Daphnia pulex: one gene and its partner. The protein of the gene in region 1 interacts with the protein of each later gene in a pairwise test. Links are inferred from orthologs where the notes say so. Each region holds a gene or a part of one and is shown on either strand. Other genes may lie near its edges. The genes, in order: BTB/POZ domain-containing protein KCTD9-like and protein N-terminal glutamine amidohydrolase-like.

Region 1 (12,445 bases):
GTGAAGCCCACAGCCTTCACAGGAGCCTCAATAGTCTTTCTGGAACTAACTGGATAGTCTTTGCAAGAGTGTCTACAGCTTTAGTGTCCTGCATTGCTTTTTATCTACTCTACAAACGATACCTTCCGTTTGACCGCAAAAACCTATTTATCGTCATGATCGTCTGGTGCTATTGGATTTTACAAAGTGCGTGTTTTCTGACCGACAGTGACACAATTGGACTCGTGTACCTTCCAAGATTGTTCTACATTGTGTTTATCGTAAAACTTTGCCATGATATTTATACGTTTTTATTCGATAATGAACTGGGTAAGATGTCAAACTATCGCAAAAAGATATCTCATCTGGTCATTCTACTGTCAACGCTGGCCATTTTGTTAGCTGGTGATGGCCTGGCCCCAGGTATTATTCTGGCACTGGCCAATCTTGTACTATTCTCTCAACTCTTCACCGGAGAAAGTAATTGCGGAGAGATGTGGCCTCTTTATGGACTTTTGTCATTGCATGGTTTCTTTGCTGGTGGACATCATACTAGCCTCGCTAACATTCCATGGTAAAAATATTATATAATATCAATTATAGTAACTTTTTCCACCTATTTAATTATTTTTTGGGTTAAAGGGAAACTGCTTTTGTGGGTTTATCCCACTCCGATAGCCAAAGTGAATGGGCTAACGTGCTGCCAGTTTTGTTTGTCAGTTATAGCACGGCGTTTTCTATGCTCCTACACGCCATGTCCGTCCCGATCGTGTCACTTTCGAACGTGACACGAAAGAACAAAGACTCGCAAATGTTATTAGTTAATGGCTGGCTACACTTTTTGTTTTTCCATGCTGTGCGCGTGAGTAGGAAAACGAAGATTAAATGAAAGTTCTAATACTACTTAATTTTATATTTAGTTGTTTGGCTGTATGGGCGCTGCAGCATTACACCGCCGCCACCTGATGGTTTGGAAAATTTTTGCTCCGCGACTTCTCTACGAGCTACTTTTCGCTGTTTACACTTCGTTGGGGATTGTTGCATCTTTATTCCTTTTTCAGGCAACGATGTAAATATATTTCGTTCTTATCATTTTCAACCCGAGACAATCGATCAAAAGACAAAAAGTATTCAAAGAGGGAAATAATCAATTGAGGGATTGTCCGTTGCCGGCTTTTATAAAGGGAAACGATTACAACAGAAAGGAAGCCCTTAGAGAGAAAAAAAAAAACATTATTGAATGGAAGAATTTATGAAAAGCTTAATCATTTTTTCTTTCTTTCTTTTTTCACTTGACATAGGAGTGAATAACTTTGCGGATGATGGATACACATTCCAGCATTTCCTTTTCATTGATGACCAGTGGTGGAGCAAAACGAATAATGTCACCGTGGGTTGGCTTGGCGAGCAGTCCTTCGTTACGCAGCCTCAGACAAACCTCCCACGCGTCAAATTCTTGAGAATAATAAATTTTATTTAGTAATCGGTAACTTGGGCATGATAAATGAATTTGGTTATTACCTGGCTGGATAACGATAGCATCTAACAATCCTTTTCCACGCACTAGTTTGATGACTGAGCTAGGAAGTTCCCTCATTTCATCTCGCAGGATCTTTCCAAGTTTTTCCGCATTATCCGCCAACTTTTCTTCCTCGAGTACCTGTAATCAGCAATTTTTGTTTGATTAAGACATCAGCGAAAGGCCCAAACTTTGAGAGAATGCTGATTTGTTTACTTGCAATGCTGCCATAGCCACTTTACAAGCCAGAGGATTGCCACCAAATGTTGATCCATGTTCGCCTGGCTTGATGGTTAACATTACTTCGTCGTTGGCGAGAGCAGCAGCCACAGGAAGAACACCACCGGAAAGAGCTTTACCGAGAACCAGAATGTCAGGCTTAACATTTTCGTGATCAACAGCCAGACGTTTGCCAGTCCGACCCAATCCTGTTTGCACTTCATCAGCAATCCACAGTACGTTGTTTTTAGTGCACAATTCTCTCACGCTCTATTTTAAATCGTCAAGTCATTAACGAATTTGCGCTATAATTTAAGGTGGTGTGATTCTCTTACCCTGAGATAACCCGGATCTGGAACGACTACTCCAGCCTCGCCCTGAATAGGCTCCATCATGAACGCGCAAACGGTAGGGTCTTCCAAAGCAGTCTGTTATTAGCAAATGAAAAATAGAACGGAGAATAATGGCAACTCTAGAGTAATAATCAAAACATAATCATGACGGTAGATACCTTCAGGGTGGCCACATCGTTGTAAGGAATGATTACGTAGCCAGGCATGTAAGGGCCGAATCCGGCATAGCTAGAAGGATCAGTGGAGCTCGAAATGGCGGCCATCGTTCGACCCCAAAAATTGCCTTCGACGAAAACAATCTTTGCTTGGTTGTCCGGAATCTTTTTGACAGTATAACCCCACTTGCGAGCCAATTTGCAAGCCGTTTCGCCACCCTCAACTCCGGTGTTCATTGGTAGGACTTTGTCATATCCAAATAGCTTGGTAACATATTCCTCGTATTCTCCTAGTACATCAGAATAGAAAGCCCTCGAAGTTCTAACAGAGAAAGAATTTGCGAATAATTTAAGACCCGTACGTTATATGGCATGCGAAAAATGTAATTTAATTACTTACAACGTCAATACGTCAGCTTGTTGATGCAAGGCTTTGATGATACGTGGATGACAATGGCCCTGATTGACGGCTGAATAAGCGCTTAAAAAGTCGTAGTAGACGCGTCCTTCGACATCCCAAACTCGCACTCCTAAATTGAACTACCCAATTCAACAATCATGGAGACAACAATTTATCATTGCAAATGTTTAACCGACCTTCGCCTCGACAGAGGGCTACGGGCAAGGGATGATAATTGTGGGCACCGTACTTATCCTCTCGTTTGAAAATGGCCTCTGATGCAGCTCCCATAGAGGCGGACAAATCTTCAGCTGTGGCCGCCGATACTTTCGTCGCCTTTGTACGAACTAACGAAGCCCTCCAGCCGTTGATAATTCCGGCCATTGGCCGAATGGTCTTGTTCATCGACGTAGCCATTTCTTTTCAAATCCTTAATTAATTGCAACAGTTAAGAAAAAAAAAATTATTATATTTGTGTAGACGTGTACAAACATAAAAATAATAACCTGAAACAAAATTTGCATTATGTCTGTATAGTTAGGCTAGGGAATTCAATCACGCTCGAAAACAAAGAGAGACGTATTCGCATCACGCCATACTACTCTCAATGCATACGCATTTCTTCTCTACTGAGTAGTGTCAGATTACGATTTTCATGCTCTTGGTCGAAAACAGTATTCAAGGTCGGAAGTTATTTTCATTCGGGAGTTCACATCTCTACTGCGTCGGCGTGAAGCATCGCTATCATTTTCTCTACTAGTCGTCCTTCACTATCTCGTAATTTTAAATATTCACAATGTGATTACTGCAAGTCTCAGGGCAATGTTTATCGTTAAATCAAGGGCAACACTTCCGGATTTGAATAAAAACTGTTGAATAACCAAGAAAAAAACCCTAAGCTTGTCACAATTGACATCGATCGGTTGTGCAGTCGTCCCATTTTCAACGCCTCTTATTGAACCAACAGATTGCCACTTAGAGTAAAAATCAGTCGAGAATAGGAGATGGAAATTCCCGCAATAAAGTATCAGTGTTGCGTCAGACCCTGTTTTCCGAGCTATTTTCTATAAGACATAACGGGAGTGCAAAACTGTAGAGCAGAAAGCAGTTCTACTTACGAGAGATTATTTACAGTGCAGTGGAGCAGTCGTCTCAGGTGGCACGAGTGTCCCGGAGGCTGTCGCGAGGTAGAATGTCCGTATTCCTAGCGAAACTCGGTCACTACATTGGACGATTGGCGCATATCCAATGGCTTCTGTGGGTTTCCATCACTTACAACTCTGCCGTTAGATGTCACGTTGTGTTTAATTTGCATTGGTTTTGATCAAATTTCAAATTTACACATTTTATTAACATATATCTGAATATTTGCAGTGTCGCAGTGCACATTATTTATCTGGTATTGTAAATCCAAATGATTGTAATCCTTAATATCTTCCAGTATTATCTAATCTACAAAAATTTAATCAGTCTATTTATTCAGTTCGAAAGTAAAAAAAGAAGAAGTTTAATCGCAGTGAATTGCTCGGGTTTTCAACAACATGTACGTAAGTTATACGTAAATGTTTGAAAAGGTAAGAAGATAATTTTTCTTTTAACCCAAGTTAAATTTCCCCTTATCGAAATCCTCATCTCAAACTGTGCCCAGGGAAAAGAGGTCAATAACTAAAGGTTGGCGTCCCCCCTCTCTCCATGTGTCATCGACTCTTTTAAAAAAGAATAGCACACACCTCCAGGAAGGCTATGTTTTTATGGCCGTCAAGATCTAATCGACATTTAAAAGAATAGAAGAGATGCGTGTTTTCATTGAAAAACAACTTAAAGCGACCTTGGCAACAAAGAAAGTTTATTTCGTCTATATTCAGCTTCGGAAATCTCAAAGTCAACAAGTTGTGTCCATTCAAATCACAAAGATATTTAAACTTGGGCGATAGATTGGTTCTTAATAATAATCTGCCGCTCTTCTTCGATCGATCGGGCCAGTGCCGTTACGTTGCCGGCACCAAAACCCCTCGCTCCTTTTCTCTGCACCACTTCCATGAAAAATGTTTCTTCGTTGAACAGTGGGAGCGTGAAGATTTGCAAAAGAAACCTGTTTGATAATTAAAACGTATTAGAAAACATGGATCGGTACACACACAAGAAAAGCTCACCTGTTGTCCTGCACTTCATCGCGGATATCCGCCTCGGAGTCGATGAGAATTCCTAACCGCTGAAATTCTTCGATGTCGAAACCAGCCTCTTGGATTTCTTTCCTTTTAAATTCCTAAACAAAAACAGATTTTTCATTTGAGGTTAAAACGAGCCACGAAATTTGCATTCCAGTCACATTTACGTACATTGCGGTAATAAGCTGCAGGCGGTGTTCGAAATGGAACCTGTTTGCGGATCATGGCACTCACGCAGCTGGTGATATCAAGGGAGCTGAGACCGATGTGTTGAAGACCTGGTCCTCCGTGACCGCCAAGGAAGGCGCCAATGTGCGAATTCTCTGTTTTGCCGTGAATCGCCACGTCATTAAAGAAATACTACGTTCGCTCGTATTATTAGACTTAACAAGTTATTTTCCTACTGACAATTTAGGAAGCTAACATTAGATGATCGAGATTTACCTATTCCTGGGAGAGATTCTGCGATAACAATTTTCAACGATGTTTCATCCATGCCATCGGGATTTGAATTACAAACGCCAGATTCAGCACAGGGCCAATAGTCCATCACTCGTAGTCTCATACCAACTCCGTCTTTGATTACTAAGCCTTCTTTCAGATTTTCAGTTGGATTGGCTCTGAACTTTTGCATGCCCAAGCAGTCTTGATACCACTGAATGATACCCGGCGATTCACCAGGATAGCACACATAAGTCAAATGATCAACATGTGTGAATGGTTCTTCACCCTGAATTTTGCTATCTTCTTCAGATTCATAATTAAATGTGGGGAGGAATGATCCCTTGTACTGAGATTTGTCCAAAAGTGTGTGGATTATGTTGCCACAACAGGAACCAACAATTGAGTACCTCACTTTTCCTTTTTTATCTTCCACTTCTGTGACAGGATGAAATAGTTGTCCTCCAAATTTCTGCATCCTGTCGGTGACACCTTCCAAATTTTTCACTTCCAAGGCAACATTGAACACTGTGTCAACCTCATGAACAGGTGTTTGGAAATAAGAAAATGGCACGAACTGCTTGCTGCTAAGTTTTTTCCTTTCCGTTACGACAAATGTAGATTTCTGACTTCCAACTACCCACTGGCTGCTCAGCAATGTATCTCTCCGTGCTCTCAGCGAAAAGCCAAGTTTGTCAGTAAAGTAGGAAACGATCTTCCTTCCGTTTGCGACACACAACTCAACATGATGTAAGGCATTTAAATGCATTTTGAAATACGACGCAAACACCGAAAAGTAAACCGCGGTTGAAACTGCTGTTTAGTTATCTTTAATTCTACAAAACAATACGTATATGGTTACGTGATAAACTGACGAAAGTTACCAATCACGGTTGTCGGCCTATGCAGACGACGGGATTGAATCTGGTCTGAAATTCGTCTGCAAAAAAAACGACAAAATAATATAAATCTTAAAAATAAAATATTACTAAATTTTGTTTTTCATTTCCTTCGTGAACATTTTCATACAATAAGAAAAATCAAAATAGAGCACATTTTACTGGTATTTTAACTTAGCGTGATTTAATGTAAGTGATATAGGGTTACGTCACAACGCTGTTGTGAAACTTGCAAAACTAATTTGCAGGAAAAAATAACATTGTTTTTTCACTTTTTCCTTTCTCTGAAAATTGAATTCTGAATATTTGTTTATCAAAAGGCCTTATAAAGTTTGACTATTACATGACACTAAGAGTGACCATATCTAAGAATGGAAATTCTTTATCAGGCAGAAAGGTTTGAAATTTTTTTTTACATTTATACTTCATTTTTACAATTTACTATTTCTAATCTAATAGGTCATTGCAGTTCCCTCAACATTTACTGAATTCCTCGCAGTGGCAAGTCTGTCTCTAGGAATAAAAGGAAAGAGGGTTTTTAACCAACATGGTGGAGAAATACATGACATTTTATTTATAAGGTACATTTGTTAAAAGCTTGTTTATTGCCAACTCACCAGTCCACTTGATGAAAAAGAATAAACCAATATGGATTTCTTCAGTTCATTCACAGAATTAACAGGCAGTCGATTCAGTTGTTTATGTGTGTCTGTTGGAGACAACAGATGTTTTACTCCTTTTATTAGCTATTTAGTTTTTTTTTCTTGTTTTTTAAATCCTTAATTTGACCTTGGTAGGATAGGATTACATGTTTTCTGCCTATAGATTATTAGTTCTGGAAAAAAAAACCTCCATAGGCTATTACTGTCTATAGTGCTATAACTATAAGTAGCAGGGAAATATTTCCAGGTAGTCTAATGATACTGTTTTGTGTTTTGTATTTCCAGGGACAATGAACTGCTGTACATATCTGAAGGTGGAGATTTTTGTTCAGAAAAAGAATGGGTGGCCCTGAATGTTGGTGGAAAACTTTTCACTACAACACGGATGACCTTAACAGCTAAAGAGCCATTCAGTATGCTCTCACGGATGTTTTCTTCCGATTCCGGACAATTCAACCTTAGCCCGAGCTCAGTTGATGCCAGTGGCGCATATTTGATTGACCGTAGTCCGACATACTTTGAGCCAATTCTTAATTATTTGAGGCATGGCAAATTAATACTTGACTCTGGAGTTAACGTGCAAGGGGTTCTAGAAGAAGCTCAATTTTTTGGAATCGAGTCATTGGTACCTCAACTTGAATCTCTCGCCGATGACGAAAAGTCGAAGAAAAAGCAACAACCATTGACAAGGGCAGAAGTTATCAAAGCTTTGGTTCGTACTTCACCAACCACCGAACTTCGCTTTCAGGGCGTAAATTTGGCCGAAGCGGACCTCTCTAAACTTGATTTAAGGAGCATAAATTTTAAAGTATGCGAGTCATGGCGACGTAAATATTCTTGAACCCACTAACGTATTATGTTATAGTATGCGTGCATGCGTGGCTGTAATCTGTCCGGAGCAAATTTGAGTTGGTGTAATTTGGAGCGTTGCGATCTATCTGGCTCAAAAATGGATGGGGCACAACTTCTTGGAGTGAAAATGCTGTGTGCTACATTGGAAGGTAGAACACTTCATCGAACATTTTTTAAATAATAGCTGATTTTATTTTTAAAAACTAAAACACAAAACTTTTTGTTTTTTAGGCGCTTCCTTACGTGGCTGCAATTTTGAAGACCCTGCTGGTAGTCGAGCCAATATGGAAGGTGATTCAGCACTTATTTTCAATTCAAAGAAATTTTTTAATCCAAATGTTTTTGAATGTGCTCTAGGAGTCAACATGAAGGGAGCTGTTCTCGAAGAGAGTAATATGGCTGGGGTAAACCTTCGTGTGGGAACCTTGAAGTACGCAAATCTTCAAAACTGCACTTTGAGGTAAATATTATAAATTTGGTGTTTTCTTCGTCCTTAATAATGTACAGATGTAAATTGTTTAACAGGGGAGCTGTTTTGGCTGGAGCAGATTTGGAGGTATTAGTTGTATTAAATACATCTATACTTTCCGGTTATTGGTTTTTAAACTTTAAAAATTTACTCTGTAGGGTTGCGACCTGTCTGGAAGTGATTTACAAGAGGCCAATCTTCGTGGAGCAAATTTAAAAGATACAACATTGGAATTAATGTTGAATCCCCTCCACATGTCTCAGGCTATTCGTTGATTATAATTTTTTTCGCCGGTCTACTCCCTCCTCGTTTTGATACGAAATATGAAGCTTTACATTAAATTTTTTTATTTTAAAATCCATAAATGAATTGTATTAGTGGACAGTTTTAACTATGTATTATTTTGTTCCTATTTATTGATTTTAATGATTTAGATTTAGGAAGAGGTGCGGGTTTTCAATTTAAAGAAAAATACAATATGTGGAACAGTAAACTGCGCGGATATTATTGTTTATGTCTACTTGTCTCGAGTCACTGGTCCTAGATGGGTCGAAGTGTCATGGCGTCGTGTGTTAATTGTCTTTCATCTTAGAAAGCCAACGCCCAGAACCATCAACGTTTCCTACAATGTTGGTTGGATTTCACAACGAATTATTTTCCGTGTTATTTTGTTGAAATATTTGTGTTCTGGGAGTGATATTATCTTCAGAATGCAAAAATGCGGGAAAACTCTTCAGTTGATGGCAAGAAGAAGCTCGTCAATAGCGGTGTCCCACTAATACTAACTTTAGTTGTATTATTGTGTGTTTTGGAATCTTCAATAGCAAAAGGGAAAACAGAATTTCCCAAGACAAATGCTGATCTACAAGCCACATCACTTTGTCCATCTGCATGCACATGTTCCGAACAAAAATTAAAGCTATCGCAAGGTAGTGTGGAGCAAGAGCTTAACCCAAGTAATCATAAAGAAACCACAGAAAATCTCAATGTATATAGCAAGATAAAGCCTGAAATACTCAAGAGTGGAATTAAAGTACAGTGCCAGAATCCTGCCTTTATAGTGTCTGTGAAGAAGTTAAACCTGCAATCGCTACTGGTGGAAAATATTGTACAATATGATCTTTCTGGAAACAGCCTTACAAGGTTATCGGGTGAAGACTTTGTGAACGGCAACTACTTAATGCTTCAGAAACTTATACTTAAGAACAATCAAATAGAAGAAATTGCAGCTGATACATTTTCAACGTTGAAGAATCTCAAATATTTAGACCTGAGCAATAATTTTTTGACAAATTTTTCCAGTGCAATAATTGAAAATGTTATGAGCTTAGACAGAGTGAAACTAAATGGAAATCCCCTCAAGTGTGACTGTCATCTGAGTGCTCTTCTCACCTACGCGTCGTCACGTAACATCAGACTTCAAGGAACATGTTTGGAGCCGCCTCGACTAAAAGATCGTTCATTAACCAGATTAGTCGTGGAAGAACTAGCATGCCCCCCGGAAGATCCAGTTGGTGTCGAGATCAGACCCAACACTAACCAACTTGTTTTTGAAGGTGATCCATTAAAGTTGAGTTGCAAATTCAAAGCGGGACGAGCTGTTGCACCGAATTGGCTTCATCGAAATGCGAATAACCAAACTGCTACCGTGTCGCCTGGTGGAGCTGTAGAATTAACAACTAGCAGCCGTGGAACAGATCAGGGAACGGAGACCGAAAGCCAATTACTCATCCGTCATCTACTTCCCCGGCATGGTGGTATGTGGGCTTGTTCATGGGGTGGTAGGACTGCATCTGTTGAAGTTACAGTCCTGTCCCTTACAACACCTACTTGTTCCAGCCATGTCACTGCATCCAACAAAGGTCGTTACAGCTGGCCACGCACCATGGCAAACCTCAAGATTACTCTACCGTGCCAAGCCAATCCGAATCTACAGGCCTTCCGGCTGTGTGGAGCACTAGGGCACTGGGAGGAACCAGATCTTAATTCCTGCTTTTATCTCAGTGAGGTTACCAAAGTATTAGAACAGTTTGCCAAGACCAATTTGACATTCAGCAAAACTTCTGCATTGGAGAGTGCTCGTAGATTAAAATCCTACCTCACAGATGTGATTAGCTTGACAGATCCGCACGAAGCCATTTTCGTTACACAAACGTTGCACAATTACCTTGAAGCCAGTGGAAAACATCCCGAACTACTACCCCTTATTATGGATATCTACTCAATCCTAATAACACAAGATCCACAATTGTTGGCTGATTCGCGTCACGGACTTGTCGGGCTACTCCAGCAAGCACCTCTCAAGACTCAAGAATTTGAATATCGATCTTCCAGTCTGGTGATTGAAAAGTGTGGAATTATCGGGAAATCTCTGAGTGCAGGAACTTGTACGTGGAGACGAACGTCAGAGACAGGCAGCAGTAAATCAGATTCTAAAACTAAAGCACGAAGTCCTTATCAAGCAAGTTGTGGACAGAACTCGAACGGAACCGGAACAATTGAAGCTTCAGTAAGGGTTCCTTTGATTTCAGAAGGAGCATTTTCGGAGCAGAGTGTCGTACTTTCCTTAGTACTCAGCACGAACGCCTTTGTCAGCGCTAAATCGAAACCACTTGCAACGCCTGTATTAGGGGTTACTTCTGGCCCTGTCAGCAATTTAATCAATCGCACAACACCCTTCGTTATGACGATACGTCTTAGTAGGGCAATTGGCACGTCGGACCGTCTAGTCGGAGCTAGATGGAATCATTACACAGATCAATGGAGCCCAGAGCAATGCCAAACTTTGAAGTCATCAGGACTAATGTCGGAAGGAGACTCAGTAACCTTTCAGTGCTGCTGTGGCTTCGGTTTTTTCGCCGCGTTTACCACCCAGGACGAAGAGGATGAACAAAATCTAGTGGAACAGGTGACAACAAAGAGTGGCAGTGGCAGTATTCCTGGTAGCGCATACTTTCCTGGACAACTACATCTTCTACCATCACCGGTCTACGTGGGCAGTGTCATTGGACTACTGTGCCACCTGACAGCCTGTCTCTGCTATCTGATTCACCGACGGCGACTGAAGATGACCCAACCCACTCGACACGCTTTAATTAACACCTGGATATCAGTCGCATTGCTGATGGTTGCCTTTACATTAGGTGTCCGTCCAGTCCTTGGCAAACTTCCTTGTCAGATTGCTGGTCTCTTACTTCACTATTTGACACTGAGTTCACTGCTCTGGATGGTAGTGAACGCATCGAGTTTGTACAAGCACATAACAAAATCATCGCGCACTGATCCTGAAACAGACTCGTCTCTTATGGAGGAAGCAATGGCTGTAGGTCACGATTCACCACCCAAACCAGCTTTACGGTTTTATTTAATCGGATGGGGTATCCCACTTATTGTCGTGGTATGTATTGGAATCTTAAGAAATTCTACTAAAGGTTTTGTAAATTGTAAATCTTCCATTTGTTTCCAGGGAATTGCTGGAGCTATCCATTTGGAGCAATACTATGGGCCAAAGATTTGTTTCTTGGCTTGGACTCCTAGTTTGGGTGCAGTTGGACTTCCTTCGGCAATTTTAATTTTGCTGATCTTAACATTTCACCTATTAACCTGGTGCTTCTTAAGACACACCTCTCGTCTGGCTGCCATTCATCAGAAACAATTAACAACGCTCGCTGCAGTCGAAGAGCCTGGTGCAATGGCAGCAGCTGCTGCGGCCTCTTCTGATGGAAATAAAGACGTGGGCATGTGTGGGCGAATGCAAAAAGACAAAAAGACTTGTGGACTTCAAGGAGGCTATGTTCCATTAGCAGTCGACGGAGACGTTACCAGCTGTCCATCTAATGTAACCAATCAGGTGACAGAGACGAGCGATCTAGCCTCTCTGTCTAGTGATCATGAGCGAATCGCACTTTTGATTCAACGCGGTGAAGCCGAAGGAGCCATGTCAGCCAACGAAAGCGTAGTTCTTCATTCCGGCCGAAGTGAGAGCGAGCGTCCTCTACTAATTGTTACCTCCTCAGCTGCTTCTAGTAGTGACGACCGATTGGAGGATGGTGCCAAAACGGACGTTGACGATCAAGGGCACAGTAATCCGCTGATGGCCTCGTTCACTGATGACGGTGACAGTAAGAAGCGGGAATGTGCATCCAGCATATCACCCTCTATCATGGAACCCGGGATACAAAATGCTGTAAGAAAATAATATCTTTCTTAAAAGAATCGTAACTTAAACTCATTCTGATTTATTTTCTTAATGATTTCAGATATTTCATTTACCTGTACAAGCTGTTATACCTCCCACGCCGACTGAAGATGCCGATGAAAAGAGCACGT
Region 2 (11,407 bases), on another chromosome or scaffold:
ATCCATCTGCTCGTTCCAGCCTCCACCACTTCTGTTGCGGCCATCCATTTCTTTGTGATGCTGCTGCTGCTGGTGGACGTCATCGTCGGCTTCCTCCAGTTCCATGTCGTCCGCATCGTCGTGAGATGGAATTTGCGGAGGCGGCTGCTGTTGCTGCTGATGCGGATGGCCGGGTAAATGCGGATTGAAAACGTTGAAGAAGCCGGAAGGACCAGCCGGCTGACCCATGGAAGGCCCTAATCCTTGAGCTGCGGCAGCTGCCCCGAGTCCGGCCAAAATCGATTGCCCGAGCAGATGAGTGGCCATTGCGGCGTTGGTGCCAGCACCGGCCGCTTGACTCATGAGAAGATGGGCGGCAGTACCGGGCGGAGGCAGTCTGAGTCCAGGTGGCATTCCCAGGGGCACTGGTAAGAGTCCAAGTGAATGAGGAGCCATGGCTGCATAAGTGGGCAGATTGGCCGGCAGTGTCGTTGTGGCAGTATTCAGTGAAGATGGACCCGAGGCAGTCGACATAGCCTGTCCACCTCCGCTGGATGGTTCATTCATTTCGGGAGTAGGAGGACCCGCTTCCGGAATGGGAATGAAGCCAGTAGGAGCCATTGGAATCCTTTGCTGCCCAATCTTATCGTCCTTTAAATACAAACAGAGATGTTAAGAATAAAATTCCGGAATTGAATTCTGTTGAATTACCTGATTTAAATGATGACGCAACCAAGGAGGAAGTGTTTCTTCATCAAAGGATCCACCTTCTTCCAGAGCTTCCAAGTCCGTCATTTGGCTCAATCTTTGCCATGGAACGTAAGACACTCCCTGGTCCACCTCCCAAAAGTCTTTCCACTCTTTAGCCTTGACTCCTTTGCCCGGTGCCCACGCCAGCTGTTTTTAATTTAAAAAATATTAAAACCTTGTCAAATCTAGAAAATTAAACTAAGAAAAATGCCAGTCAATCAATTACCGTGATGGCTTTGCCTTGCAATTTGTGTCCAGCCAATTTAGTCAGTGCCCGGTAAGCGTCCTGTCGTCGGTGCATGCAAACGAAAGCGCATCCTCGTGGTGGGATCAGGTCAATCGACAAAATCTCGCCGTACTGGCCGAACGTATCCGACAGCTCCTCTTGTTGGACCAGTTTGCTGAGGTGACCCACCCACAGGGTGGTGCTGCAAACGCTCAGCGCCTCTTTCTTTGTAGGTGGCAGACCTCGCCGCTTCCTGTCGCGTTCCTTTTCACGTTCCAGACGTTCCTTTTCCCTCTCTTGGTCTCGAGACCGAGATCGAGGCCTAGCACGAGTGTTGCGACTCCTGGAACGACTCCTGGAACGTCTTCGTACACCACCCCGATCACGAGATCTCGATCGCGATCGGCTCGACCTTCTACCCCCGTGACGGCCACCACTTCGGGCTCGTCTACCACGTGATCCCGATCGACTTCTCCGTCTCTCTCGTTCTCTGAGTTGGTTTAAAAATTGGTAACTCGCCAGTATAGTTAAATGAAATGTAATTCTTACTTTGATCGTGGAGGATCGATTTCAATGACTTCACCGTTGCCTGGTTGAAACAAGTCCTCCCTGATGGTCGGAGGTTGATGGTGCTGTTGGAACTGAGCTGCGGCGTTCGGCGGATGCGGAGGATGGTGATGAGGGAAGCCCACTGGAGGTTGACTCAAACCGGCGGCTCCCATCGGCATGAATCCGGGTGGCGGTTGAGTAAAATCAATTTGACCGTATTGGCCGTGGTTGTTGGCCGGCTCCCAAATCGGTTGCTCTTCGTGTTGCTGTTGTTGTTGATGGTGGTGGTGTTGTTGCTGCTGCTGGTGATGGTGGTGGTGATTCGTGCTGATTGAAGCCGACTGGACCGCTGGCTGTGCAATTTGTTGCTGGAGGCTTTGAAGATGTCGCAGAATGTCGGGATTAGTCAGCAAACTGCAAATCGATTGGAAAACAAGGTTTAGCATTTTAGTTTTGTTTTATCCAATAGGTTTGTAAGCACTTACGTTCCAAGTGATTCGGAAGTGGAATTTGATGTAAGAGCAGGTTGAACTGGTTGTTGTGGCGGAGGCGGTTGTGGTTTGGCTTGCTGTTGGCCAGTTTCCCTAGCGGTTTTGTCCGGCTCTTCGTCTTCTTCATCGTAGTCAAAGTCCAAGAGCTTCTTGTTGAATCGAATTTGCCCCGTATCGTTGGCATTCGCAGGGACTTTGGCTGGCGTTAAAGGCTGAGCCGCTAATGGATTGCTCGAGTTATTGGGAGGTTCTTGTCCAAATAGATGTTGCAGGTGCTGCAGCCTGGTAGCTAGACTCATTTCTGTGCTACTCAGGTTGGGAAGATTTCCCATTACCAAAGACTGACTCTGCAAAGGACAATCTTTATTAACAATGTGCATCTTTGGGCACAACTGACGGTAAGTTACCTGCACCTGATTTCCATCATTGGATGTTTCTTCAAAACTAACTGCTGCCTCATTGTTGCCATTAAGATTAGTAGTATTGTCCTGAGAATTGCTTTTGCCTGCAGATATCCCTGAACTGGAGGCCCCTTTTGAGTTTACATATTGCGCTACTTCCTTGAACTTTGGATGACTGGAATCAGCCATATCAAATAGTGGCTGGATGACTTCAGGAGGGAACACTGCATTTTTCTGCCACAAGTTGAGCACCCTGATGACTTTACTCTGTGTAGCAGTACAATGTTATTTAGATCAAATGATGTCAAGTTGTTAAATAAGTTGGTTACCTTTTCTTCGCCAGTGCACTGATAAATGAAGTAGAAGGTGTATGTTACGTTTTTTGAGAACCGAGGAGCAAACACATCTTTATCTGCTCCGAATTGATGCCTAGATTGTCGAACTATAGAGTCAATCACATATAATCCAGGGATTTTGTATTCAGGTCGACACTGAAATCAAGAAAAAAGTTTAATGTCATTATGTCAACTAAAAGCGTGTTTGACAACTGGTGGCCAAAATTACTGACTTTTTGCAAAAATTTTTCGACAGACTGAACAACATGTTTGTAAAACTTGACTGCTTTGATGGCGCCTTTTGTGATTGCAGTCATTTTTGCCTTGGATATAGGTGGTTTCATGTCGTAGAGCGACGAGAGCTGTAAAATTTTGATAATATTTTGAAAAATACATCCCCCTAGTCACAAGTTGAAAGATTCGAGCGTTTACCTCCGCATTAAAAGCCTTAACAGTATCCATGGTGGTGGCCTGCAATTATCCAATAACGCGTTTAATAATCCTTGAGTTGAAGATCGATGCAAAAACACTAGTTCCGGCAAGAAATTCACAATGTTTTCAAGTCCATTTCCCACACAAAATTTTCGACGCCAAAATTTTTAACGAAAAAAAATTCTCAATGGTGGACGCCCGGAAATATGTGGCATTGCCACGTTTACATTGAAAACTTTATATTGAATATTTAATTCGGTGATTTTTATTATTAATGACGAATTCAGATTTTTAAAATTATTCTTTCCTCTTCTTTAAAAATAAAAACTACTTTAAAAATTCTTTACTTTTTTAAAAATCTTAAATGTTAGAAACTGACTGATAAATTATGCTTCAGCAAGATGTTCATGCTTTCAAGAAAACAATATTTTTCAGTTTGGGGATTCTTTCAGATTTATTTATGGTTCAATTGCCAGGGAACATGAATGAATTCATACAAAAATATCACATAACAACATTTTCATATCATGATTTCAGCTGATCCACCTTACTGCTTGTCAATCGGACAGGAGGTAGGACATGGAGTTGGCACTGACACTTCTGTCCAGATAGGAAATCAAAGGTACCAAGCCTGGCATCACAAGAAGGGCAAACAATTTTACCCTTGGTCCAGGAAGACTTTAATACAGAAGAAAAGGGATTTTGGTCATTCTTCATGAGTTTGTAAAATATTATTGAGCGTACTTACTGTCTGAACTAGGGTTTCAAGCCAGACTGGCAGTTTCTCATCCTTAACATATAATATTGACTTATCCAAGAGACACTCTGAATTATCCTCTCCCTGAGAATCAGAAGGTCCATGACAAGTTGTCAGGCAATCTTTTTCTTCAGGTAAAATCAATTTTGTTCGACATTTTCGACAACGAACGTGAGTTTCTGACATCTTTTCGTCTGCTATAAACGCGTGTGAATAATGCGCAAGCGGCCAAGCGCTGAAGATAATATATTTTTTTGTATTTTGTCAAATTTCAAGAGAATTTCGAGACAAAATCCCGATAATTGAAAATTTGACCGGGAACTTCTCGACTACTCATACTTATAAAATCATTTAAATTATTTGCGGATGTGGCAGTAAAAATTGGGGGATAATTTGGGGGAGGTTTCAACCATTTGGCATCCTTAATCATGTGTGATCTGTCAGAAGCAAATCTTGTTAGGTATTGCTCAGCTGGTATGACTCTAAAATATCTGGAGAAGAAGAATATTAGTTTACTGAGAATGGTGAAATAATGGCAATCAATTAAAATTCAACCTTTGAAATTGAGTTTGCAGATCATGATCTAGGCCCAAAGCTTTAGTTTTGTACTCTTCAAATGAACAGGGAAACGGTAATGTAGTATCTAAATCATAAACATCAAAGTAATTTTCTTTGGCGTGGTAAATGAATATCACATGATAATCCTACAAAGAAATATTTAAAAATCAACATAAATCTATGCATTAGTGATTTAATTTATGTTTTACCCAGATAACTAGCCCTTTCTCATCAGTGCTCTGCTTTTGACTCCACAACGGGATGGTTTGCTTTTCATTTGAAATGAATACAGCAACACACTTGTCAAGAAGTCCAGGGTGATTTTCTTTCACATATTTGCATACATGCCATACATTCTCCTCGCTTCTTGTATGTAACAAATAAAAAGTATGTCACTATTCAGTAAAGCTGGGGCAAAAGAAGTCATTTTAATATTTACCAATAACAGCTTGTGTAGACGCAGTCTTCTGAATTTATTGAAATAGACATTGAATTAAATATCTAGTTGAGGGACGAATCTAACTCATCGAATTTCGGTGTTTTATTTTTTTATTATTATTTATTATATCCTTTTTCGAAGATTCGAACGGTTTCAAACTCGCAAAATTTTTTTCTTCTGCACTTTTCCCTGCGTAGAGACAAATTTCTACGACAGATGTCTCTTTACTCTTTAGGGCTGTGGCCCGGGCCATGAAAACCCGGGCCACAGCCTGTGCTGAAGGAAAAAAAACCAACCCAACTCGACCCACCGAGGCATATTTTCTACGGGCCGGGCGACGGGTTGAACCACCGGGTCCGCGGGCCAACCCGAGCGGTGACGCCATCTAGTAGTCACATAGAGAAGCTCGTTATTCTCTATGCCTGCGGCCTCAAGAAAGACATTTTGTTGTTTGTTTCAGGTTAGAGGAATTTTCCGACCTCAGTTTAATCGAGATAATAAATAATTAAATGAATCTGCATTCGAGAATAATTCGAAAGAATCAAAACACATATGACATATCCAATTTGCTAATTTATTTTAGATGTGGCCGAATAAATTTTTATCTTGATGCAACCTTGCCCCATTCCCCCTCCAGTTTCAGTTAAATTATTCAAAATGGTGGCCACCGTCGACACCCGACGAGTCGACAGTAATACAGTATGTGTTTTTTTAAATTAGGCAGTACACATGATGTTGGAAGTATTATCGTTACCAGATCGTTTCTACAATTCTCTACGTTCGTTTGGTAATTTGTATTCGTTTCGCGTTTCCCCAGATAAATCGGTAAAATTGTTAGCATAAATTCTTTATCATCAAGTGTGTGGTCTGTTTTTTGCGCTTAGTTAAACGTAACTATCAGTCAACAGGAATTATTTTATTGAACCCAAAGTTTAGATCTCATGATCTGATCGTGACTTAAAGCAAGGTTTTTATTTTTATTATGCTCATATCTTGCTTCATTGTTGCATGATTACAAAAACTTATTGAATTACTAAAAAGCATGGTATTACACCCCATCCTATCTTATATTGTGATACTATATTAGGCTATTTGATACTTGAAATAGGCTTTAAACTGTAAACGATTTGAGTATGTACAGCTTTATAGAACAGAGGACTTATAATCCTGTATAGCTTTATAGAACAGAGGACTTATAATCCATGTGTTCTTGATTTAGATAATTCCAAATGAAGTAGTCATGAGACTGATGCTGCTGGTATTGGAGCAATCAAGAGGCCTAGCCTAACTCTTTCGACATTCATAAATTTTTCTACTTAGCAGGTATAGTTTTTTTCCATAACTCTCGAGTTTTTATTGTTATGATTCCACCACCACTCCACACCTCATTTGTTCATAGTAAAGTGGGTGTAGAGATTGAGTGAAAATGAAGTTGGAACACAATATGGCTTCGATTTGAATAAAAGATTGTGTTGTATTTAAAGCAATGAGCACATTTAAGGAGTATTGATTTCTTCCAAAGCTTGGGCCCATTAATGTTATTATTATTTTTTCATTAATATTTATAAAATGTAATTATTTTGTTTACATTCAGCCACCAGGGGCCTTTGAATTTCTATCCATCAGGCGGCGACGACGGATGTCAATAACAAATTTGCTTCCGTCAAATGATCCTGTGAGTCAACTCTAATCAGCTGAGAGCCTGCAGACTGCAGGTGACTGTTTGCTTCCCGGAGTTTATGTCAAAATGCTTCGACCAGCAATTTATTCAGTTGAAACATTTCAAGTTGGATTTCACCATAAACTTGTTACTGATTTGGTTATAGTTTTCCCCCCATCCCTGTCTAGTACCGTGATGATAGGTGCCATCAGGTAAATAACTATTTAACAATCAATTGTATTAAAGAAGTTTTCGTTTTCTTGTACAAGTAAAAAAAAAATATTAACTTTGACAATCTATTATTAATCTTCAATTCATGCTTAGATGTGTTTGTACCATGTTTAACTGTTCATCACAAATTTTACAATGATAGTTCTTACAAAAATGTATGTCTTATAAATTTTACTAGGGAATTTCCAGTTTGGCAGTCTCCAAAATGTGGTGCCCAGGCCAATTCAGTTCTGTGGAAACTCAACTGACCAGAACCCTCTAGCCATGGCTGATGAAGGCTACAAGAACATTTCGGTAAGTCATCCTTTTCTGATTCATTTGATGGGAATTAGATGAAGGGAAATCTAGTTTACCACCAACTTTATTTAAAATAGCTACAGTAATCAATAGAAGCCCCTTCCTCGTTTAAGTGTCTTGATATTTATGGGTCACATTTTTATTAATTCAAATCTACATTAAGACGAAAATGTCAACGTTTGTTTTCCCGCACGATTTGTGTAAAACATGATGCAGGATACGTCTTCCTTATCGATGATGCGCTACCGGCTAGTTTTGAACAGCGTTGTGTATTTTGCCAATAGAAGAAATTCAGACCATTTTGTGAAGATAACTGATCATAGTTAAGCAGGTCACGTTGCCTATTTTGCTTGCAATTCTGAATAACCAATAGAATAGTTCACATCAGCTGATTGCCGGATCTCATTTAAAATTGTCACGATATCTAAACGACTGGTCGCAGTAGGTTCGAGTATCTCGTTGATTGCACCATTTTCACACGAGGAATTTATATTTAAATAGTCGATGCTGACAAATGACTCCACGTATTTTTCGATCATTTCTGACAGTTGAGAGAATCTCGGTCTTTGCTTTGGATCTTTCTCCCAACAATTTTTCATAATTTGGCCGAAGAAATTTGGAGAATATTCCGGTGGTGTCATTCGATATCCATTTTGAATATCTTCCATTAGTTCCCTGCCATTCATTCCTTTTGGTAATGAAATAATTCATTCGAGAAGTTCGAGGGGATATTTCATTTGAATTGTGTTTCACCTGGGTATGGGACTTTGCCGAGGGAGAAAATTTCCCACAAGAGAATCCCGTAGGACCAGACATCCGATTGACTGGAAAAAATTTTAGCTGTAAGCGATTCAATCGCCATCCACTTGATCGGTATTAAGCTCTGTCCATCAAAGAGAGATCTCACGTGTTATTGAACATTATTATAATTTTATTGATTTATTAGTTTACCTCTCCCTTTTTCTCGTATTCGTAATCCTTCATTTGCCTTGCCATTCCGAAATCGGCAACTTTGACGATTCCGTGATCGGCTAAAAGGACATTGCGGGCGGCCAAATCGCCGTGCAGAATCTGTTAGTCAAATCATAGACAATTCGAAATTTCACAATTTAATAAGTCGTAGGTCATTTGACTGCACAGACCTTTTTGCTGGACAAAAATTCCATCCCACGAGCTATTTGCAAAGTCCATCTGATTAAATCCACTGTTGATACGGGAGGGTTTCCTTCGTTGATGTTGTCGCTATAAGAAAAAAATGAGATTCACGAATCGATTTGTGTCATAATTAGTTACTTTTCATTAATTTCCGTTTCCGCCGTTTCAGTAAGTGATGACAAGTCACCGAATTCGTTCAATTTATTGATGAATTGGTCGCGATGTTTTGTCAAATATGTTTGTATGTTGCCGAAACGACAATAATCGATGATGACCAAAAGTTCTTCTGCAAAATCAAGGCCGTAGATTTTGTTAATTTATTAATTTTCGTTTTATTGCTTTTTGATTTCACCTTTGTTATTAGTTTTGGTGCAGGCCCCTAGTAAATTAACGACGTTAACGTGCGATCCCATGTAGATGAGGATTTTTAATTCTCTGATGAGAGCGGCCAAGGCGTCATCAGACTGGGCAGTTGCTTTAACCATTTTAACGGCCACTGTGGTCACCGTTTCAGTTCCTCCAATGCCCACGGCTTCCGCTTTGACGACTCGCCCGAAACAACCAGCTCCCAGTTGTTGGCCTTTATTTTAAAGAATTTTTTTCACTTGACGGAATCAAGCATAAATTTGTTTTTAGAGAATAACGTACCAAGTCTGAGTCTTTTCCTGGGAAATTCCCATTTCTTGTCGTAGGGCAGGAATTCCGTTTGATATTCCATCGGCACATCCGGGTCGATTTTGCCTGGGTCGCCATTCAGTCTACTTTCAAGGGATTTTTCCACCTTTTTCTAAATGAGGATTGACATTAGGTTGAATTTTCAAATGTGACGAAGTAAGGAAACATGTTGAGAGAAGAATTCCTTTTCATCACTTACCTTGTCGAGGTAAATTTTGATACTGATTCCAACTCCAATTGCAAATAAAACTGCAAAAGTTATTGAAATTCCGTTGACTGTAGCAAATGATTTTGCTTCACTTGAGTCGATTATTCCAACTCTAATGAAACTGACAATAAACTGCCTGTGCCTCGCTTCGCCACGGCTGTTGTTCCACCGACATTCGTAGGTTCCATTTTCAGTTGCTCTTCCTTCGAGTGGCAAAACGGACGCGATTTCAGTTTCGAAGATTATGCCGGTGTATTTCCTGTTATTCTTTAAATCAAAGTAATTGTTTGGTATAAAGAACGGCTGCTACGAAGAATGGTAAGATTAGTTTACCTTGAACCACTGAACTTTGACATGTTGCGATAATCGGTTGCACGTTAAATTCTGGGCTGTTTCATTTTTCAATGCGATAGAATTAACTACTGGTTCGTTGTTTATTTCTGTAGAAATGAAAAGAGGTTAAATTAAATAATTTTTGCAATTATGAAATTAGCATAATGGAAAGATTTAAAAAAAAAGAAAAAAAATCAATTTGATCAAAGCGTTACCTTTTATTGTGAAAGAAATCTCTTTTCGATCCCTCCTTCTATTGTTTACTGAACATTGGAATCTTGTGTAGGGTGTGCCAAGGTTAACGGTGTGCAGGTACAGTCGTTTGTCAACTCTATACGTATAAGTTTCACCAATATTATTCTTTTCCGTAGTGAGGATACCTTCAGAAAGTCAGAGAATTCAGAAAATGGTACCAAGACTGCTTTCAGTTTGCCAATGCTTTCAGACCTGGTGGTGCTGGGTTTTTGTCATCAATGATTTGCATTCCTCCGTTGCCTTTGATTTGATAGGACCACATTGAAATAAGGGACGAACTCATTCTTTGTAATGCTGAAATGCTGCAGATTAAAGTGACGTTACTTCCTTCTACGGGATCGTTTGGTTCGCCGACCCTTTCCAGTTCCATTCCTATTAAGAATTAAGTTGTGATGTAATCACACTTTTTTTACTTCAAAATTGAACTTCATGTACCGTACCTATTACGCCTAAAAGGAAGGGTGCAAAGTCTGTAATTGGCAGCTTATCTTTCGGTAAAAACCCTTTTAAAAAATTTGGGAAGTCATCGTCAATTCTTTTTTCGGAAATTTTGACGCGTTTTCCTTTGATGACGTCCAGCGTTCCAGTACAAAAGTAAAGAGTATCTTCATTTAGATTAACCCTAATGTTCTTTATTGTGAATCCTCTCGTCGGTTCAAACGACCACACCGAATTGTTTTGGGATAACCAAACCTTCATCAAGTTTATAATTTTTGAAAACTCTTTCAAAATTGAATAATTCCATTAGTGCTACCTCAGAAAAATTGGTGAGTGGATTTCCCTTAAATAGAGCGACGGTGACGTTCGGATGAGTGGGTTTGCACGGGACGGTGAAAGCTTGTCCTGTTTCGGCGATGAAATAACTTTGATGTTCTTGATCTTCTTGGTCTTGTACGAAGACGAGTTGTTCATAGCCTATAAATTTAGTGAATTGAAAAAGTGGCTGATTAGTTGTGAATTCTGAATTGTCATCTTAAAATTTCTGCTGTTATTTTTGCTTTGCGCTTAAGAAATAATAGGGGATATAACCAACTGTAAACGTAAACGTATTGACGGAGGGACGAAACTGTTCTTCTGGAGTACATTAAATGGCTACATTCGAAATAGCCTGTGTCTTCAGCTGTTGCGTTTCTTAACGTAAGCATTGATATTAGGTGGGTGCCGTTTGTGTTACTAGTCAAATTCAGGCGTCCGCCAATATCCTGAAACAATCGACATATTGTTGTTGTCATTTCCAATATTTATATGCTTATTATTATTTTAAACCTGTATGTTTCTTCTGTTTTCAGTCGTCCACGTCACGTTTGACAGCTCGGGAAGAATTAAGTAATCGGCCAATATACAGGTGACTGTTACAGTTGAACCGGCTTCAACCACCTGTTCATCACCGCTCGGGACTAGTGTCAGTTTGAATTGCTGTTGGCTCTGAACGATCAGAGTCGACAAGAGAAAGAAAATTTGAAACAACCAAACCGTTTGTCCACTACTTACTAACTGTGGAAACGACTTCCCAAGTGATGAAACGCACGTCCGTCGTGATCTTGACATTTTCAATTTGAGGTACTCACGAATTTTGTCGAAATTGTTTCAAAGTAGACGCACCTTGCTCGAAGGGAGAAATCGAATGTCTGATGACTTTTTCTCTGTGCTTAGATCGCCTAAAAAAATTCCAAACC

Evidence for each region.
Region 2: the proteins of BTB/POZ domain-containing protein KCTD9-like (region 1) and protein N-terminal glutamine amidohydrolase-like interact in binary tests that used the Homo sapiens proteins (3 or more experiments, as listed by UniProt). The link is inferred for Daphnia pulex from reciprocal best matches to the Homo sapiens genes KCTD9 and NTAQ1.

What each region holds. Positions count from the first base shown.
Region 1 is NC_060017.1:7,088,568-7,101,012, forward strand, and holds BTB/POZ domain-containing protein KCTD9-like, read left to right. Parts: upstream 1-6,339; 5' UTR 6,340-6,476; coding exon 6,477-6,530; intron 6,531-6,592; coding exon 6,593-6,714; intron 6,715-6,750; exon of another isoform or gene 6,751-6,842; intron 6,843-7,080; coding exon 7,081-7,603; intron 7,604-7,660; coding exon 7,661-7,796; intron 7,797-7,878; coding exon 7,879-7,938; intron 7,939-8,004; coding exon 8,005-8,107; intron 8,108-8,172; coding exon 8,173-8,203; intron 8,204-8,274; coding exon 8,275-8,391; 3' UTR 8,392-8,609; downstream 8,610-12,445. Other genes in the region: GPI ethanolamine phosphate transferase 3-like, read left to right, coding at 1-553, 622-841, 900-1,052; ornithine aminotransferase, mitochondrial-like, read right to left, coding at 1,268-1,434, 1,501-1,639, 1,715-1,987, 2,053-2,145, 2,229-2,547, 2,626-2,755, 2,823-3,042; 4-hydroxyphenylpyruvate dioxygenase-like protein, read right to left, coding at 4,543-4,717, 4,779-4,891, 4,965-5,116, 5,238-6,003; uncharacterized protein LOC124196876, read left to right, coding at 8,835-11,513, 11,583-12,302, 12,376-12,445. UniProt on the Homo sapiens protein: Substrate-specific adapter of a BCR (BTB-CUL3-RBX1) E3 ubiquitin-protein ligase complex, which mediates the ubiquitination of target proteins, leading to their degradation by the proteasome.
Region 2 is NC_060028.1:392,456-403,862, forward strand, and holds protein N-terminal glutamine amidohydrolase-like, read right to left. Parts: upstream 5,105-11,407; 5' UTR 4,968-5,104; coding exon 4,918-4,967; intron 4,842-4,917; coding exon 4,688-4,841; intron 4,625-4,687; coding exon 4,476-4,624; intron 4,412-4,475; coding exon 4,192-4,411; 3' UTR 3,912-4,191; intron 3,842-3,911; 3' UTR 3,591-3,841; downstream 1-3,590. Other genes in the region: SR-related and CTD-associated factor 4-like, read right to left, coding at 1-630, 691-876, 956-1,445, 1,505-1,918, 1,990-2,342, 2,403-2,663, 2,726-2,887, 2,965-3,093 and 1 more; vascular endothelial growth factor receptor 3-like, read right to left, coding at 7,447-7,793, 7,859-7,988, 8,057-8,176, 8,248-8,347, 8,399-8,546, 8,613-8,840, 8,909-9,047, 9,135-9,410 and 7 more. UniProt on the Homo sapiens protein: Mediates the side-chain deamidation of N-terminal glutamine residues to glutamate, an important step in N-end rule pathway of protein degradation.